Linked DNA regions of Drosophila melanogaster. The protein of the gene in region 2 purifies or fractionates together with the protein of the main gene of each other region. This does not show direct contact. Each region holds a gene or a part of one and is shown on either strand. Other genes may lie near its edges.

Region 1 (5,748 bases), 6.9 Mb from region 2:
TTACTTCGGTCCGAAATGGTGTGTTGGAAAATTCGGCATCCGTTCTTCGCACAGGCAATGTACAAATGGAAAATTAAGAGAGCGGGCGGAGCAGGGAGAAAAGGATGCTGCGGAAAAGCTTTGGCTCTCCGCCACAGCTTTTTCTCTCTCTGTCTCAGCTTCCTGGCTCTCCGTCGCCAATTGTAAACAATTGCGCAATGCTCGCCTGCTGTTGCTCCTCCACTCGCCTCGATGCACAAATGGTCACTAAAACTGGATTGTTGTGGCCAATTCGGCCTGCCAGCCGCATTGCAACGGCCTGTGGGGTTGTGTTGGATTGTATTGCTTTGGGCGAAGGTCCTTATTTGGTGGTGTTTTTCAAGAAATAAAGCTTGAGAACTTGTATTTGCCTCTTTAAAGTTATGATAAATATTGTAGATGAGCATATAAACATTAAGTGACTTAATAGGTATACTTATCAAAATTTGTTTTAAATCAACCGCAATAAAATGCTATGTTTAACCCACTCAGAAGAACAAATATATATGCATCTTTATTGATCGATTTTTAAAAAACTACTTAAAAATTCGAATAATAAATTACGATTTAAAAAACATCATTACATTAAAATTCAATTCTCAGTTTAGTTTGGCGACATGCCTGTCATTACACAGTATTATTGACGATCAGAAATTGAAGAACTTTGCTTTAACACTCAAATTGCATTTCAATCCTTATTTATAGTAGTGTGTAAACAGTGACAGAAGGTTGTAAATAGTTTGGGGCAGTTCTCAAACGTTCAGCACCCGGCCAGACGCCTTAAAGCATGGCACTGTGCGGTTCGATGAATAAAATTCAAAATTAACGTACTGGCAAAAATGAAACGGTTTCGAAATTTGTAGAAAAGTGAACTAATTATCAACTAGGCGAGGAAGTAACCATCCGTGGACGCAAACATAAACTGATGTACGCATATTTTCATGTGTAAATATATATATAAAACGTTTCTAACAAACACGAGGCACGTCGAAATGTAAGTGAGCAAAAATGAAGTGATCTCTAGGTTGGTTTTCAGTTTTTATTCCGACTCGGGGAAATTTGGTGGCTTCAGTTGCTTCTTGTCTTTAGTTGACCTCACAAGGCTGCGTATGTGTGTATATATGTATGTCTATGTGTATAGGTGTACATGTGTATATGGATAAGAGTCTATTTAATCAATTTGAAAACGGTATCAACTAACTTTCAACTAACAATAACCTTACCGCCGACGCTTCGCTCAGTTTCGACCATATGTTTCCCTTCCTGTATGACTAAGTGTGCGATACCTTAACAGCTGCATAACTTTAGTTTACCATAGTTTCATTACGCTTTTGTGCACTAGTGTTTTGAGTTAGTTTCAAGTTTCCAAATTATTTACAACTAGCCCTGCATTCCGGCGTTTACTAGTTTGGCGAGTATTTAGATTACTGGAACTTGCGCGTGGCAGTTCTGGCCTTCCAGGCCTTGACCAGGTTGTAGGCGAAGTACAGCGTAAATCCGTGCACCTGGAAGCCCACAAAGCAGAAGGCATACCAGAAGACGCCGTACGGATAACCCTGTAGAAAAACCGAGGTTTAGTAGGGCGGCTCTTGAGGGATTAACTGGCCCAGCCACTTACGCGCCACACAAAGATGTCTGTCTCGTCCAGCTCCACCGACTTGTCCAGCGTGGCGAACTCCCACACGTCCGAGAAGTAGTAGGCGAAGCAGTAGAAGAGTGGCAGGATGGCGAATAGCAGTATGGCCACCATATACTTCTGCATTTCGCGCACCTTGTTGCCCCTGGCGGCCGAAAGGCCCAGGAAGGAGGTGAGCAACGACGCGGCCCACACGTACTCCCACCACAGGGGCGGTGGGACCTCCAGCTCCTCGATCTCCAGCACAAAGATATCCAGGTGGTCCAGAATGTCCGACGTCAGCTTGGCCAGCATCACGAAGAACAGCAGGGCGTGAAAGAAGATGCAGTACTTCAACCTGGACTTGTTCAGCAGGCTAAAAGAGCAGAGAAAGTGGTCGTTCAGTGGCGGATCTGTGTGGGTGAGCCCCATATTGGGGCGCACATGCTGCCCAGCTGGCACTTTGCCCACCCGCCCCCTACAGCAGCAAGTGGGTGGGTGCAGCAGCTCCAGGGTGCTCCGCCGCCCTGGCTGGACGCCACCTGCGATTCGGCTGCAGTAGGTGCCGCCTGCAGGTGGATCTACTGCCACAGGCGCCCCAGTAATTAGATAATTTCGAGTGTAGCTGAGAGCTGGCGATAGCACGAAGTGTTATTAACCTAATTTGATATGTGCCAGCTACGCGCTGCCTGAACTCGAAGTCGTTGCCATCGGTGCCCGCGACCATTGGTCCGCCGCGCGTTGCCATTTCGTTGCCTTCGTTCGTGGGTCGTGTCGTTCGCTCACGTCGTTGCTTATTTTTAATAAATAATTGCACAAAAAATAGGGCTGGCACTAGAATCGATGTGTGTGCGATACCATCGCTGCCACCAAAAAACTGGCGCACATCGATACGCTCCTCGCTACCATCGATTACTTTCGCTTGAAAGCATAGCAAATAACCGTTAGAAAGAGAGGGGAAATTCCGCTAAGTTTTAGAATGTTCATTTTCAGAAAGTCTGCCATGGAAACTATTAATACATCTGCATGGAAACTGTTTACAAAACATTAATTAAATTAAATAATTAGCCTTTTAACTGTATTAGCAACACGTGATTAGTCATATTATTTAATTATTTTAACTTATTCTATTACAGTTATTAAACAGTTATTAGTTTTAATAAAGTGGCAATGTGGTCGTGGTGACTAGCTCCGCTTAGGGAAATTTTAATTGGGAGGATGACTTCGCTAGGTGTGTAACCTCGCTAATGCTGTGTAGAATAAATGTGTTATACTTACATACGTAGAACTTCAGTTTTTCTCTAGTTAGTTTCGGCAGAATGTAGATAGATATTCGAACTAGTCGCAAATGAGAACGATTTTTTAAAGGTAATGCTGAGAGTTTAGCATTGCTAATCTGAAAAGTGGGCTGGTGAAAAATAAAACCAAACCTATTCTTAATGGCATTAATGGCACTTAATACTTTAATTTTCATATCTTTTTTGCACGATTTTAGAAAATGAGGGCTGGTTTTAATACTCCGATTGAAATCTTCCATCCATATGAGAATTATTTCTACTAAAAGTACAAACGCTAGACTAAAATGAATTGAATTGCATTCCAATTCCAATATGTCTTATAGACCAAATGGCAGAACTAGTAAGATTTAGTAATGATTAATGATTAATGAACGGGTCGCGATGAAAAATATTACTCGTAGATTAAAAAAGAAGTATTCTAGATTCCTTTTTCAACGAATATGTATCAGGTGAAAGGAAGTGTTTTTCGAGCCAATAAAGCATATATTGGTAAGGAACACTAGCCGAATCGAACTGGCCATGTCCGTCCGTATGCACGTCGAGATCTCAGGAACTACATATATAAGAGAGATTAATTTAGTTTTATTGCTATGTCAGAAAATGTTGAAATTCATGTTTGAACTTTCACTAGCAGAGAAAGGAGTATCTAATAGTCGGGGAACTCGCCTGTAGCGTTCCCTCTTGTTTTAGTTTCTCCGTACCTTGTTTTTGAATTTGAACTGCAGTTCCAATTTTTCGAAGCCAATAATGCCTAGTGCGTCAAGCCGAAATTATCATAATTGGGTGCAAGTGCTCTTTGATGGGATTATGCAAATTGGATGCAGCTTTGTGTCCCAATCAGTTTTCCAGATTGGAAGCAGTGGGTGTGTCCGGCGGACTTTCGGCGCTCTGTCAACTGGCCAGCACCTGTTGCACCGAAATCCATAAATCAATCTGCCACGAAACAAGAAACAAGCGAGGAAAAGCCAATCTGCGAAAATAGAGAGGGCGACGACGTTTAAAAATAAAATAATGAATTTCCCATTTCAACGCACTCTCTTTATGCTCGCTACGCTACAAAAGTCGAGCATTCGGCCCGGGTGTGTCATCAGTTCTACGGCGGTATTCCTCCGACTTGGACGCGTTTTCATCGCATGCGATCGTCTCCGGCCGAAAGTCGCGTCTTTCCCGCTCCGATTTTAATGTCAGTTGTTGATAATTTCCGCTCGAATATTTATGCTGAGCTCGGTGGCTGACACTTTCGAGTCCAAAGTTGAAGTTGCGCCATAATTGCGATTCGGTCCATAAGGTAATAGACCAGAATAGTACCATCACAATGAGTGGCACTTGCATATTAATTGCATTTCATCGCCGAGTCTTTCTTTGTTTTCGCCAAAAATGAAAACACATACGCGGCAGATTTCATGACTTTTGGGGCCGGGACCTCCACCTCGAATGTTGCCATTATATATATATATATTTTTTTTTTTTGGCAAATAATGCTATATGAACTATAAACCAATTGGTTAACCCTAAGAATAGAAATAAAAGGAATTCGGCTAGCAAGATGGCTCCTGCATAGATTGTACTTGCACTAGCAACTAGTATTTGGTATTGGTATTGGGTCTTGTTGATGTCCACTGTATTTGCATATGATTCGACTTAGCGTGTGCCGTGCGATATTTGCTTAGTTATTACAGACTTAAAACCATATCGATCGTGTGCCTTAGATAGATAACAGCCTGTTTAAAGTTCTGCCTCTTTTCATTTCAGCTGCGTTCCCCGGTGATACCTACACCCCCGCGTGACTTGTCGGTTCCCAGTATCTTCCGGATAGCCCAGTCCCAGTCACCGATCCTGAACCGCATCCAGAGCCCCAGTCCAACCATGTCCATTGCCGATAAACGCGCCTCCTTCGCGCGCCGCGCCGAATCCCTGGTGGAGCGGGTGAGAGTTATGAATACCATTTACGAGGTACCGGCATTAAGTGACCACGGATCGTGAGATCGATACTCGGTTTTGTTTGTTGCTTGCTGCCCCGCTTGCCACTAATTCAGATTTATGTTGTCAGCACTGCTGCTGGCACGGCTCGTAATTTATGGCTCGAGGCGTTAAATGTGTTTCACCCATGCCATGACACTTTCCCAGTAGAAACAACAGTCCCAGGCACAGTCAAATTCCCAGTAGCATCGATATACATACATATCTGATTAGGTACCAATGGCCGTGGGTGGCGGGGCTCAGACAGCCAGTCGGTATTTCTCGGCTGATGGTGACGCTGTTTGGCTTGGCCCGACTGCTTTAATTAATCTGAAACACTCGCGTACGTTGTGCACATCGCCTTAATGAGTGGGGCCAAATTGTGCTCGGATCAAGGTCGTCGGAAGTGTTCCCTATCACAAGACCGATTGCCTCCTATGGGCATGGTTACACCCGCCGCACAAATGTGTGTGTGTTTCTGAAGGGCAGCTCTCGGTGGTCTCAAATCCATGTACGAGTATGTATGTTCTTCAGTAGTTGGAATGGCCTTTTGGCCGGCAGAACAAACTAAGGCTATACTCGTAGGTGGCACAGGTCACCACGGAGCATACAGCTCTTTAGTATTAAAGAAACCTAGATTGGATGATCCTGATCCTTATAGGGCACAAGAACGATCAAAATCAGTTCGGCTTGCTACCAATGGCATATTCGCACTCGCGGGGCATAAAAGAGTCATTGCTCCACTGTCTAGCTAAAAATAGGTGTCCCCATGCAAATAGCCCCCAAAACTGCGCGGTCATCGTGGATGTAGCAGTGGCAGTGCTTATGCTTCTGTATGGGATTGTATGGGGACTCAAT
Region 2 (10,786 bases):
TTAACAGATCGCTGCGCCGCAGGAACGTCTGTACTCCACATGGATGGGCGGATCGATTTTAGCCTCGCTCGATACTTTCAAGAAGATGTGGATCTCGAAGCGGGAATACGAGGAGGAGGGACAGAAAGCCGTGCACAGAAAGACTTTTTAGCCTGTTTATAAGCTTAAACGCCATTTGTAAAAGGCTAATTAAAATGTATATCAAATCCTTGTGTCAGCTAACATGAAGTACCCTATAAATTGAAAAGTAAAATGTGTATGTTTTACGCATCAAGGGCGCAAAGTATTTAAAATGCTATTTATTGAAACTGCTTTCCCAGCCTAGAAAATAAAGTACTAAAATTTATAATTCACTTGCGGATAATTCCTTCCCAGGTTAACTCTTAAACAATAAACCAAGAAATTTCAACAAGCTATTGTATATTTGGATGTACCTAACAGATAGTAATATCTTATTGCTCGAAAGATTTTTTACACTACCGCGGATACATTAGCTATCAAAAAAATTGTACTTTCTTCATCTGAGATAGCTAGTGACGCCAACTTGGGATGTTTGTGACCCCATGGGAATGCTACCACCCAAAAACATGCTCTTGTTCGGAATCAGGGGAAAAACTATGGGCTGCCGGTCCACAGTTGCGGCAATCGCCTGCGTCATCTTGATGACGCTCTGGTCCAGCTTGATTCCGCACTTGCCCTTGTGCAGGTGGAAGAATGCCGGACAGTGGACCTTGCCGTAGGGGTCACGATAGTGATCCCGGTACTTTTGGCACTCCAAATAGAATGTGTCAATCCTGTAGATCTCTGCACGACTTATGGTGGCCAGGTCGACCGCCTCGGGCACGAATTTACGAATCATCTGACGATCTTTTTGGGATTTCTTCGAAACGTCCCAGTACTGAGCCTCTGGTATGGCAAATTCCATGGTTCTTTTTTTTTATAAATCTTTCAACGAAATATATTTAAATTTCTTTTTTAAAACTCCTAACTAAAGCTGTGTGTAAATTGTACTGTTGTGAGAGACTCAGCTCACTGTGATGCAAACCAAAATAAGAAATATAAATAAAATAAACTCAAAATATCATCAAAGACATAAATTAAAGGTAAGAACTGGTCTTTCTACCAAAGGATATATGAGCCATATAGAACATGCTGAATGAAATCAATACATTTTCAAACCACTGCCATTAGTCATGGCTACTCAAAAACACTCTTTCCAGCTTGTAGCACTCTCTTTCTGGCCAAGTATACTGAATGGCCGAATCATTCGAATCGGGTAGTGCTCTCTGGACGGGATTTCTGAATTCAGTTCTCCGCCAGTTGTTAAATCGCTTGGTTGTGTCGGCAACCGTCGCCACGACAACGCCGCTCCAAGCACAAACAATTAGTTGCCAATTTCAGGAGACAATGAAAACCGAAACAACTTGAATTGAATGTTGTTGTGAGTTCTTTTGACTGACACAAAAACTGATCCAAAGTGCAGTGGTGTGTGGCGAAAAACAAAGCTCCAACCGAAAGCAAAACCGAAAAACCAAAGATTCATTCATTATGGCATCAGGTTTGCAGCGGGTTAACGAAAATGAGGTAAGTCAAAATACAAATATCTCATATCTGAAGATATTCCAATGTATTCACATTCCGAGCACCCACCGACCTTGATCTTAGCCATATATTCCTGGTCTTGAATTATTTATTTGTTCGAGCGAATGAGACACACCATCGTGTCCACATCCCCATTTCCATTCCATCCGTAATTGCCAGTCCGGGTAATTATTGTCTTTGTTCCAACTGTTCGTGCAATTCAAAAATGTTGTATATCCGACTCGTTGGCCTTATGCACTTTTAAACTGCGATGAGCTGTGCGAAAAGCATTTGTTCTCATATTGATTTTGTAATTGTTATGGGAATTGCATCCTTTTGTGGTAATTATCCTTGCAGTATGGCTGAATCCTTTGTTTCCCCACAGAAACCAGTAAAAAATGCTTGGCAGGTTAGTTTTCAATGATGTATGCTTTTTATTTACTATGCACATTTGTGTTTGTAACCCTTGCCCTGAATGTTAGCCTATTTTTCATTACTCGGAGCTGCGATGTTCTGTTTTCTTATCGGCACAAGATCTGACACAAATGGCAATAGATAAGGAATTACTTTGAAAGCGATCTTTAAGATTCATTCACTTTTAAAGTGACTGTTGCAGCGCCATCATGACCACTTTCCTCGAAAATGTATCTTTCGGTTCTGCAGACTTTATATCCTGAATTCAAATACTCATATATGTACATATATACCCTATATTTTAGATGAAGGCAATGGATGCCAATAGGTATGCCACCAAGAAGACGATCGCCCAGGGCATGCTGGACATCGCCCTGCTGACCGCCAATGCCTCGCAGCTGAAGTACATCCTCCAGGTGGGCGAACAGCACCAGTTCTACAAGCTGATGCTGATCCTGATCAGTCTGTCCATAGTCATGCAGGTGAGTATATAATCACTGTAGATTCTTATTCTCTAAGTGTCAGGCACAGAGAAAAACATAAATGTGTATCCTAATGAAATCCATCACACTCGGAAAAACTTGGCTAGATCCAAATGACAATATGGAACTGATAGTTATGTTTTTCTCTGTGCAGGTCCTGTCGGGCGTGCTGAGCCTGTCCCTGAGCCTGCTGCGGGATTGCCGGCTGCATCAGCCGGAGTTTCATCAGTCGGCCAATATCATTAACCATGTGCGCACGGGCTTCGCCTTCTTCACGACCATGATCAATCTGTTCATCTCGGCCTTTGACAGTCGATTGCCTCCGCCACAGGGCGACTTTCTAAACAACTAGGACTAGAGGGTGGGCATGGTAGGGATTGTACGCTTCCGTTTCTAATGCATTCCTCATTCCCCATTTTGACAGCTTTTGGTGGGCATTCTGTTCGTGGTCATCGGGAGTCTCAACATAAACAGGCAGCAGGATCAGACGGCAGCGGTCATCCTGAACGATGTCATTTTGGTAGTCGTGTTCATAATATCCGTGGTGAACGTTATCATATCCGGTTTCGGCATAGAGTACTCATCGCAGCCGCTCCGACTTCTCGATCAGCACGAAAAGACACCGTAAAATCTAGAGATCCAACGATTTACACTTATATTCATACAAATATGTACTTTAAGGCTAATGCAAACCTAAGTTGTAGAGGGAAATAAATGAATGTATTGATACCAAGGCATTGCATTTTCTCTTACCTTCGCAAACAGGTGGCTGCTGGACTCTTGCTGGTCATTCAGTCCCTCATCAATATGCATAATACCAAGGATCGAAATCGGGGCTTCGCCATCAACCACTTCATAGATGCCTTCATATTCCTGTCCGTGTTTTGTGACATCATGAAGATGAATTTTGGACTGGATCCGGCGGTTCCTCACACAGATGTGGAACTTCTGAAGCCCTGAATTTTTGAAATCACAGCTGAGGTTAAATTTTGATGAACGACGTAGGCTCAGTGTTTTAAATACACTTGCTTGCCACATTGTATATATAAATTTTTACCAAAAAAAAAGCAAATTTCTATTAAGTGATAATGCTAGCCGCGTTTTAGTGTAAAATCACAGAAACAAAAGATTAGTGCTTTTTAACAGTTGTTTGTTGCATATATTTTGGAAGGCCCGTAAATTTAACGTTTTATTTGCTTACTAATAAATCAAGATGCCACGCCCAGAAGCAGGCGACAGGTGAGCAATCCTATATTTACACAATTTGAATTCGATATAAGTTCGCGCTTGCAAGAAAAGTGTGACCGCCGCGCAAATGTGGACCGTTATCGATAGGCGCCGATTATTTATGTTCATTGTCAATGACAATTTGTTTTAAAGCGAAAAATATAGTACAGGAATAATAGTTAGTTAGTTACGATAAATATGAGTATAATTTCAAAATTAGATTAATTAGTTTAAATTAAGGCCGTTGACGGGCTGGTATTTCTTTGACGCTCTTGGTATATTGCAGTATTTATCCGAAGACTCTGTGGTATTTCTTCGTTGTCTCTGGCGTGGTCACGTTGATTGGTCCGCTATCTGGACCGAAAAAAGTCGTATTCCAAAAATAATACGTATACGTACGCGCGTGAATCACTCGCCACACGACCCAGCGCAGCGCGACAATCGAGTGTAGACACATAACATAACTGCCGTAGTCGTCGCCTCCGTGACATCCGCGCCAGCACCAACCCGAATCCGGCCGCGTCCCCCGTTTCCAAATCCAATTTCCCCTTTAATTTCGGTGGCTAATATTAGAGTCTTGCGACATGTTTAGCTTTCTGAAGCGCGAGAAGAACACCCAGGAGGTAGTGGAGAATGTGATCGGCGAGCTGAAGAAGATCTATCGGAGCAAGTTGCTGCCGCTGGAGGAGCACTACCAGTTCCACGACTTTCACTCGCCAAAGCTCGAGGATCCAGACTTCGATGCGAAGCCCATGATCCTGCTGGTGGGCCAGTACTCCACGGGCAAGACGACCTTCATCCGCTATCTGCTGGAACGCGACTTTCCGGGCATTAGAATTGGTCCGGAGCCAACGACGGACCGCTTCATCGCCGTGATGTACGACGACAAGGAGGGCGTGATACCGGGCAACGCCCTGGTTGTGGACCCCAAGAAGCAGTTCCGGCCGCTGTCCAAGTACGGCAACGCCTTCCTGAATCGCTTCCAATGCAGCAGTGTGGCCTCGCCGGTGCTGAACGCCATCTCCATCGTGGACACGCCCGGAATTCTCTCCGGCGAAAAGCAGCGCATCGACAGGGGCTACGACTTCACCGGCGTGCTGGAGTGGTTCGCGGAGCGCGTGGACCGCATCATCCTGCTCTTCGACGCCCACAAACTGGACATCTCCGACGAGTTCCGGCGCTCGATCGAGGCGCTCAAGGGACACGACGACAAGATCCGTATTATCCTGAACAAGGCCGACATGATTGATCACCAACAGTTAATGCGGGTGTACGGAGCACTGATGTGGTCGCTGGGCAAGGTGCTGCAGACGCCGGAGGTGGCTCGTGTCTACATCGGCTCCTTCTGGGACCAGCCGCTGCGCTTCGACGCCAACCGCCGACTGTTCGAGGACGAGGAACAGGATCTGTTCAGGGATCTGCAGTCCCTGCCGCGTAACGCCGCCCTGCGCAAGCTGAACGATCTGATCAAGCGGGCGCGCCTGGCCAAGGTGCATGCCTTCATCATTGCCGAGCTGCGCAAGGACATGCCCTCTGTGTTCGGCAAGGACAGCAAGAAGAAGGACTTGATTAAGAACCTCGGCCAGGTATACGATCGCATCCAGCGCGAGCACTCCATTTCTCCCGGCGACTTCCCCGACATCAAGAAGATGCAGGAGGTCCTGCAGCACCAGGACTTCACCAAGTTCCACTCCCTCAAGCCCCATCTGCTGGACATCGTGGACAACATGCTGGCCAAGGACATTGCCCGCCTGATGGAGATGATTCCCCAGGAGGAGATGACCATGGTCGCGGACCCAATCGTCAAGGGTAAGTCCCCAAGAGAGTGAATGATTAAGCACCGCTTTGCCGCATTAGTCACACTGCACTTGCTCGGGCAACCAGACATCCGACTCGTGCCCGCGAAGATCTCGAGAAATCTCTTGGTTTTCCGCGGGCATTTCACTGGCGCGTTTTCGCTTTCCCATCGCACCGAAATATTGCGCATGCGCAGCTAGAAAAATGCGCCAGTTAACCCAGATTTCCAGACGGGCCAAAATGCGAAAAAAACGAGTTTTGCCAAGCGGAGTGAGCGGCTTGGCTTCGGATACGGCCAAAGTATGAGCCACAGCTACAGCTAGACCGCAGCCAAACGTATTTAATGGATATACAATTACAATCACAATTCAAATTGCCAGCGAAAAACAAAGCCAGTGGGAGCGATCCAAAAATCGAAGCTTTTCTTTGGCCCGCATGCACAGCTTCCTCTTTTCGCTGACTGGCCAATTATGCAATGCCTGGCAACGACTATATATAAACCCTATACTATGAGCGAAACATATTTGAGCTACTATATAAACAAAGTGATAAGCACCGAAAACTGATAAGACGAGCGAGCAAAAAGTCGGTGTCAATTTAGCGCTTAGGCCAGCCACACAAACGCACTTTCTGTGGCAAACTCAACATCGAGGTGGAAGAAAATAGCGCCACAAAACCACGTATTTTCTTTCCTATCTCTTGCAAATACTCTGCTACCCAAAATGTGATAGCCAATTGCTTTGTACTTGAAAAATGGGCGCCAGTGGCGGGCTGGGGCGTGGCAAACCGAAAAATTTTACTATTCATATGTGTCAATAATTATCGGCTTGCTTTCGTCATGGGTAGGAACTCAGCCAAGTTGACTGTTTTCTCCCCGCAACGTGATAAGATTCGTGGCCATGATGTAATCATTGGAAAATACCGATAGCTTGGAGCAGTGCAGGGTTCGTTCTAATTGGGCCATGAGTCATCAGAGAGGGGAAAAAAGAAAATAATAGCAGGCGTACAGTTGGGCATGATAAATATTTCACACTCGAGTACCCAGGCTGAATCGGATCTGGCTCTCCGGAGCAGACGCATCCAGGCAACCATGACGAATACCACGCACTCGATGCCGAGCCAAAACGCCCAGCAATATAATCGCATTTAAGCGTTGAGCATTCGAGGAGGAGCAGTAGGAGGTGGTAGTAGTAACTCAGTTAATCAGAGTCTAGAGGCGCCAGTCGCATTGCAGTCGGAAAAAAGTAAACCCTAATTGAAAGTCTAATTCGATTCGATGCAAGCTGGCTGCTCCACCGGTTCGCCCTGTTACTGTGACCTCCGACCTTCGTGCGTGGCCCAGAGTTCAAGGCCCAGTGCCGCGCACCTGTTCGCTTTCCCCCATGCATTCGTTAGTGGGTCGAGCCAAAGTGGCCTGTTTGTCAACCCTTATCGGGTTGCTAGGCAACTTCTAGTTGGCCGTACTGCACGTTACCCTAGATAAAAATCAATGTAAGGCCGAGTCAGCATGCCATCATCAAATCATGTCTTATCAGTCGACAAAAGTCTGGGCATGTTCCTCTACTAGCACTGCTCTAATTTCAAGCATCAAGTATGCTCATTTAGTTTGTTTATCTGCTCTTACGCTGTTTAGCGTAATTAGGCAACAAGTTGCGGCTACTGGCCGTGCAATTTTTGGCATATTTCAAACAATAAAAGCCGAAATTATCAGAACTAGTGCATATGTATATTATGAGGGGCTCAAAGGTTGTCCACCGTAAAACTTGTAATTATATTCAGCTTTAGGGATCATTGCTTGCTGAGCAAGCAACTTATATGGAAAGCCAGTAACTAATTTGATTGCTCATTTATGTAATCATCCGTTTTGCATGCACAAACCTTTTTTTATCGTGCGAGTAGAAGGCACTGTCAGCATTCTCTTGCCATTTATCAATGCTCCTTATCATGCCAGCTAATGGTGTTGTGCCCAATGAAACACTATAAAACTACAACGGAAAGGCGTGTGATTGGATTAATTCAGTATACAAAGCCGCCAGACAAGGAGAACGAAAATAATTATCTTCCAATATGCCAGGCAACTTAGAATTGGAATAGTAAATATACATATGTATATATACATTCCAATATGTGCTGCCTCCGAGGAGGAGAGATTGTCGTCCAGCTGATCAAACAGCACCCAGAATAATCCCCACGCCCAGTTCGCCCAGACGATCCCTGGTCAACCCATCGCCACAACCCACCTCTGGCGATTATATACATATGTACGTATATATGATCTGTAAACCGAACCGGTTGCAGTCGCATACGAGTACATGTATTGCTGGCGTTGGCAACCTGAGGCCGCGTATCAATTTGATGCTCTCCGATTGTGACTTGGGGCGTGTGGCACTAAGTGGCTCATCCTCCGTCTAATCCGCTCGTGAATTCCACGAAGGGGCCCACGGAATTCAGATGAACTAGCGCTAAGTGCAGGAAGAAAGCATTTTACTCTATGATATACGGCTCGGTGGCAATCCAGTCGCCACAATGCTATTGTCTGATCTCTACTGTTTGCCTTTTGGTTTGCTGACCACTTGAGTGGCCTTTTAATTCAACTATTAGCGTATTTTGGCCTGACCTTGTGCGAAAGTATTCCACATAGCCGAGCAAATACGTTTCGCTGGGGCAAATCCAAGCATAATACGATTGGCGATCGACTGATGTCATGGGTGGGAGATCAATATCTCAACGCATGTGTCATCCATCCGCAGTCTCGGTCACCTCGACATTCGATTTGGGTAAAATTCGATAGCCCCCTCCTTTTAAATTGGACCCGACAAGTGAATGAACTTCTCGTTTATTATTACACCAGAAGGAATTTCGATGGTTGTACCCCTGAAAAAGAGAGGCGGAATGCGTTGATAAAGCGAACCGAATCGAAATCAAAGTCAAGAACTTGGGGCTCTAATTTAGTGCATGGGCGAGTGAGTGAGTGAATGAGTGTATGTATCTGTATCTGTATCTCTGATTTTATTTTCGTTGCGTTCGCTGCACAGTTTGCTTTCATTTGCTAGCATTTCCGTTGTATTGTCTTGGATAATTGACTTGGCTAGCTCAGCCAGCAAGATAAGTGCTTTGGGTAGTGATGTCTTCATAGTTTCGGTTGATTTGACAATGGAATTGACACTCCATTCGAAATGGAACTTATGTGGACCGTGCCTTGAGTCACTGCCTCCACCGTCACCATCACTTCATCACCAGCACATCTTGAATATGGGGATCGGCATCACATGTTTAGCAGTATGTCGCTAAATAGTTGTACACATATCTGACACGATCTTGCAGAAATCAGTTCTTCTGTTCGCCGTTCTTTTGGTTCTTCGTACTTTTCGTTTTCGCCATTGGCCCACTAATTAAACTCGGTTTGATTTCCACGTCCGAGTCGCACTGCCGCACTTAGCAGTTGTGCTATGCTCCACTGTCAACCATCTTTCTCTCTATTTCTTGCATACCCAAGTGGACTCCGACGACGATTTCGATGTGGCCGACGAGCCAGCTCTTCTGACACCCGGCTCGCAACGGGAGCAGTTCGCGGAGCGCTTCGATCGCTGGCTGCAGAATCTGCGCCAGCAGCAGCTCCGCCTGTTCAGCAGTTGCACTAGTCGGGTGGGCAATGTCGAGAGCGATAAGGATGCCGATCCCGGTCCAGAAACGCAATCTATGCCTCAGGCAGAGCTGGAGCATGAGTCTGGCTCTGACTTCGAGTTAGAAACCAAACCAGATCCTGATCCTGAAGTTGAAAATGAGGCGGAGCCGGAGACGGGGACAGGGACTGATATGGCCGTAAGCAACACGCACAGTAGTTGATTCCATAAGTCAGTGGCACCGATTGAATATACAGTATTGATTTACTTAGAATAATGGAATGGGAACTCAATGATCTCCAAGCCATGCCACCCGGAGGGCCCTTTTCAATTGCAAAGAGACCGCAAACGAATTGAGCAACTTCAAAAAGTTAATTGAGATCGCACTTTACAACCTGCACCGCCCATCTCAATTGCCCCCCCCCAGAATGCACTGCACCACAATTGCCCAGTTAAAGTAGCCGGCAAAGTACATGCTTAAGTCGGTCAGCCGGCCTAGTCACGGAACGGCGGCGGCGACGTCAATTGGAGCCAGAGCGATCTAAAGGTTTTAATTGCCTCAAATTGAATGTTTGTGCACGGCGACGCACCGATCAACTTAGATTACATGCTTAATTAATGCAAATTTATGGCGCACACAGAGTATCGAATGCCACACTGACCTCTCCATCCATTCATCGCCTCTTCCACAGGTGGTGCCTTCGAGGGAGTCATCGACGACCATGTCTCACCATTCGGCTACATGAAGGGCGAGGGCATCGATGCCGGCTACGGAGAGCACGAGTGGATCTGCAACAAGGACAAGCCGCGCACAGATGGCATCTTCAATGGGCTGGGACCAGTCGATGGCAAGATATCCGGTGCAAGTAAGTTTGTTATAACTCAAGGGGAAAATCGAAAACAATAATCCCATTCTTCGCCACTTGCAGCTGCCAAGCAGGAACTCATCAAATCGAAACTGCCCAACTCGGTGCTCAGCAAGATCTGGAAACTGTCGGACGTCGACGGCGATGGGTTCCTGGACTCTGACGAGTTCGCGCTGGCCTTGCACTTAATCAACGTCAAGCTGGAAGGCTGCGAGCTGCCCACCGTGCTGCCGGAGCACTTAGTACCGCCGTCGAAGCGCTATGACTAGTGTCCTGTAGCATACGCATACGCACACCCGATCACACAGCCTCACAATTCCCAAAAAAAAAAAAAAAACACAGCCGTACACAGATGTCGCATAGAGACCAACTCCTAGGATGCACTATGTTCGATTCTTTTGACTTTTAGCCACACAGTGCAGGCGACTGCCCTTTTATATGTACTATACTCGTTGTGAACGCGCCATTAATGCGCTGGGTATTAAAACACACACCGTATCACCGTATGACCGACCGTATGAGATATCAATCATAAATTCGTAGAATTTACACAAGCATATAGCATATTTTTGGATAATCGATTGTAAAGCAGGATGTAGAGTAGCAGCCTAGTGGAATAAGACAAGGAGTGTGTGTTAAGCGCCTAATTGTCATTGTTGACTTAAGGAAAGTGAAGTGTGGATAAACAATTGTTCAATGCCAATGAAAAAAGCATGAGTTAAACTGTATACAATATCTAGGTTAATGTCGATGTGCAGCTTGAAGGGCCATTAATTTGCAATCGTACCACTTTTGA

What was found. The genes of interacting proteins can lie anywhere in the genome.
Region 1: the proteins of Past1 (region 2) and jagn purify together in Drosophila melanogaster (affinity purification with mass spectrometry, with the first as the bait; one large-scale study listed by BioGRID). This does not show direct contact.

What each region holds. Positions count from the first base shown.
Region 1 is NT_033777.3:5,776,061-5,781,808, reverse strand, and holds jagn (jagunal), read right to left. Parts: upstream 2,495-5,748; 5' UTR 2,382-2,494; coding exon 2,293-2,381; intron 2,010-2,292; coding exon 1,637-2,009; intron 1,575-1,636; coding exon 1,443-1,574; 3' UTR 501-1,442; downstream 1-500. UniProt on the Drosophila melanogaster protein: Required for endoplasmic reticulum organization and proper vesicular traffic during vitellogenesis. Required for oocyte and bristle growth.
Region 2 is NT_033777.3:12,693,823-12,704,608, forward strand, and holds Past1 (putative achaete scute target 1), read left to right. Parts: upstream 1-3,499; 5' UTR 3,500-3,690; coding exon 3,691-3,716; intron 3,717-4,008; exon of another isoform or gene 4,009-4,288; coding exon of another isoform or gene 4,289-4,296; coding exon 4,297-5,513; intron 5,514-9,816; coding exon 9,817-9,990; intron 9,991-10,053; coding exon 10,054-10,259; 3' UTR 10,260-10,311; downstream 10,312-10,786. Other genes in the region: Arp1 (Actin-related protein 1), read left to right, coding at 8-151; CG14391 (uncharacterized protein), read right to left, coding at 518-925; NijC (ninjurin C), read left to right, coding at 1,549-1,584, 2,301-2,477, 2,902-3,105.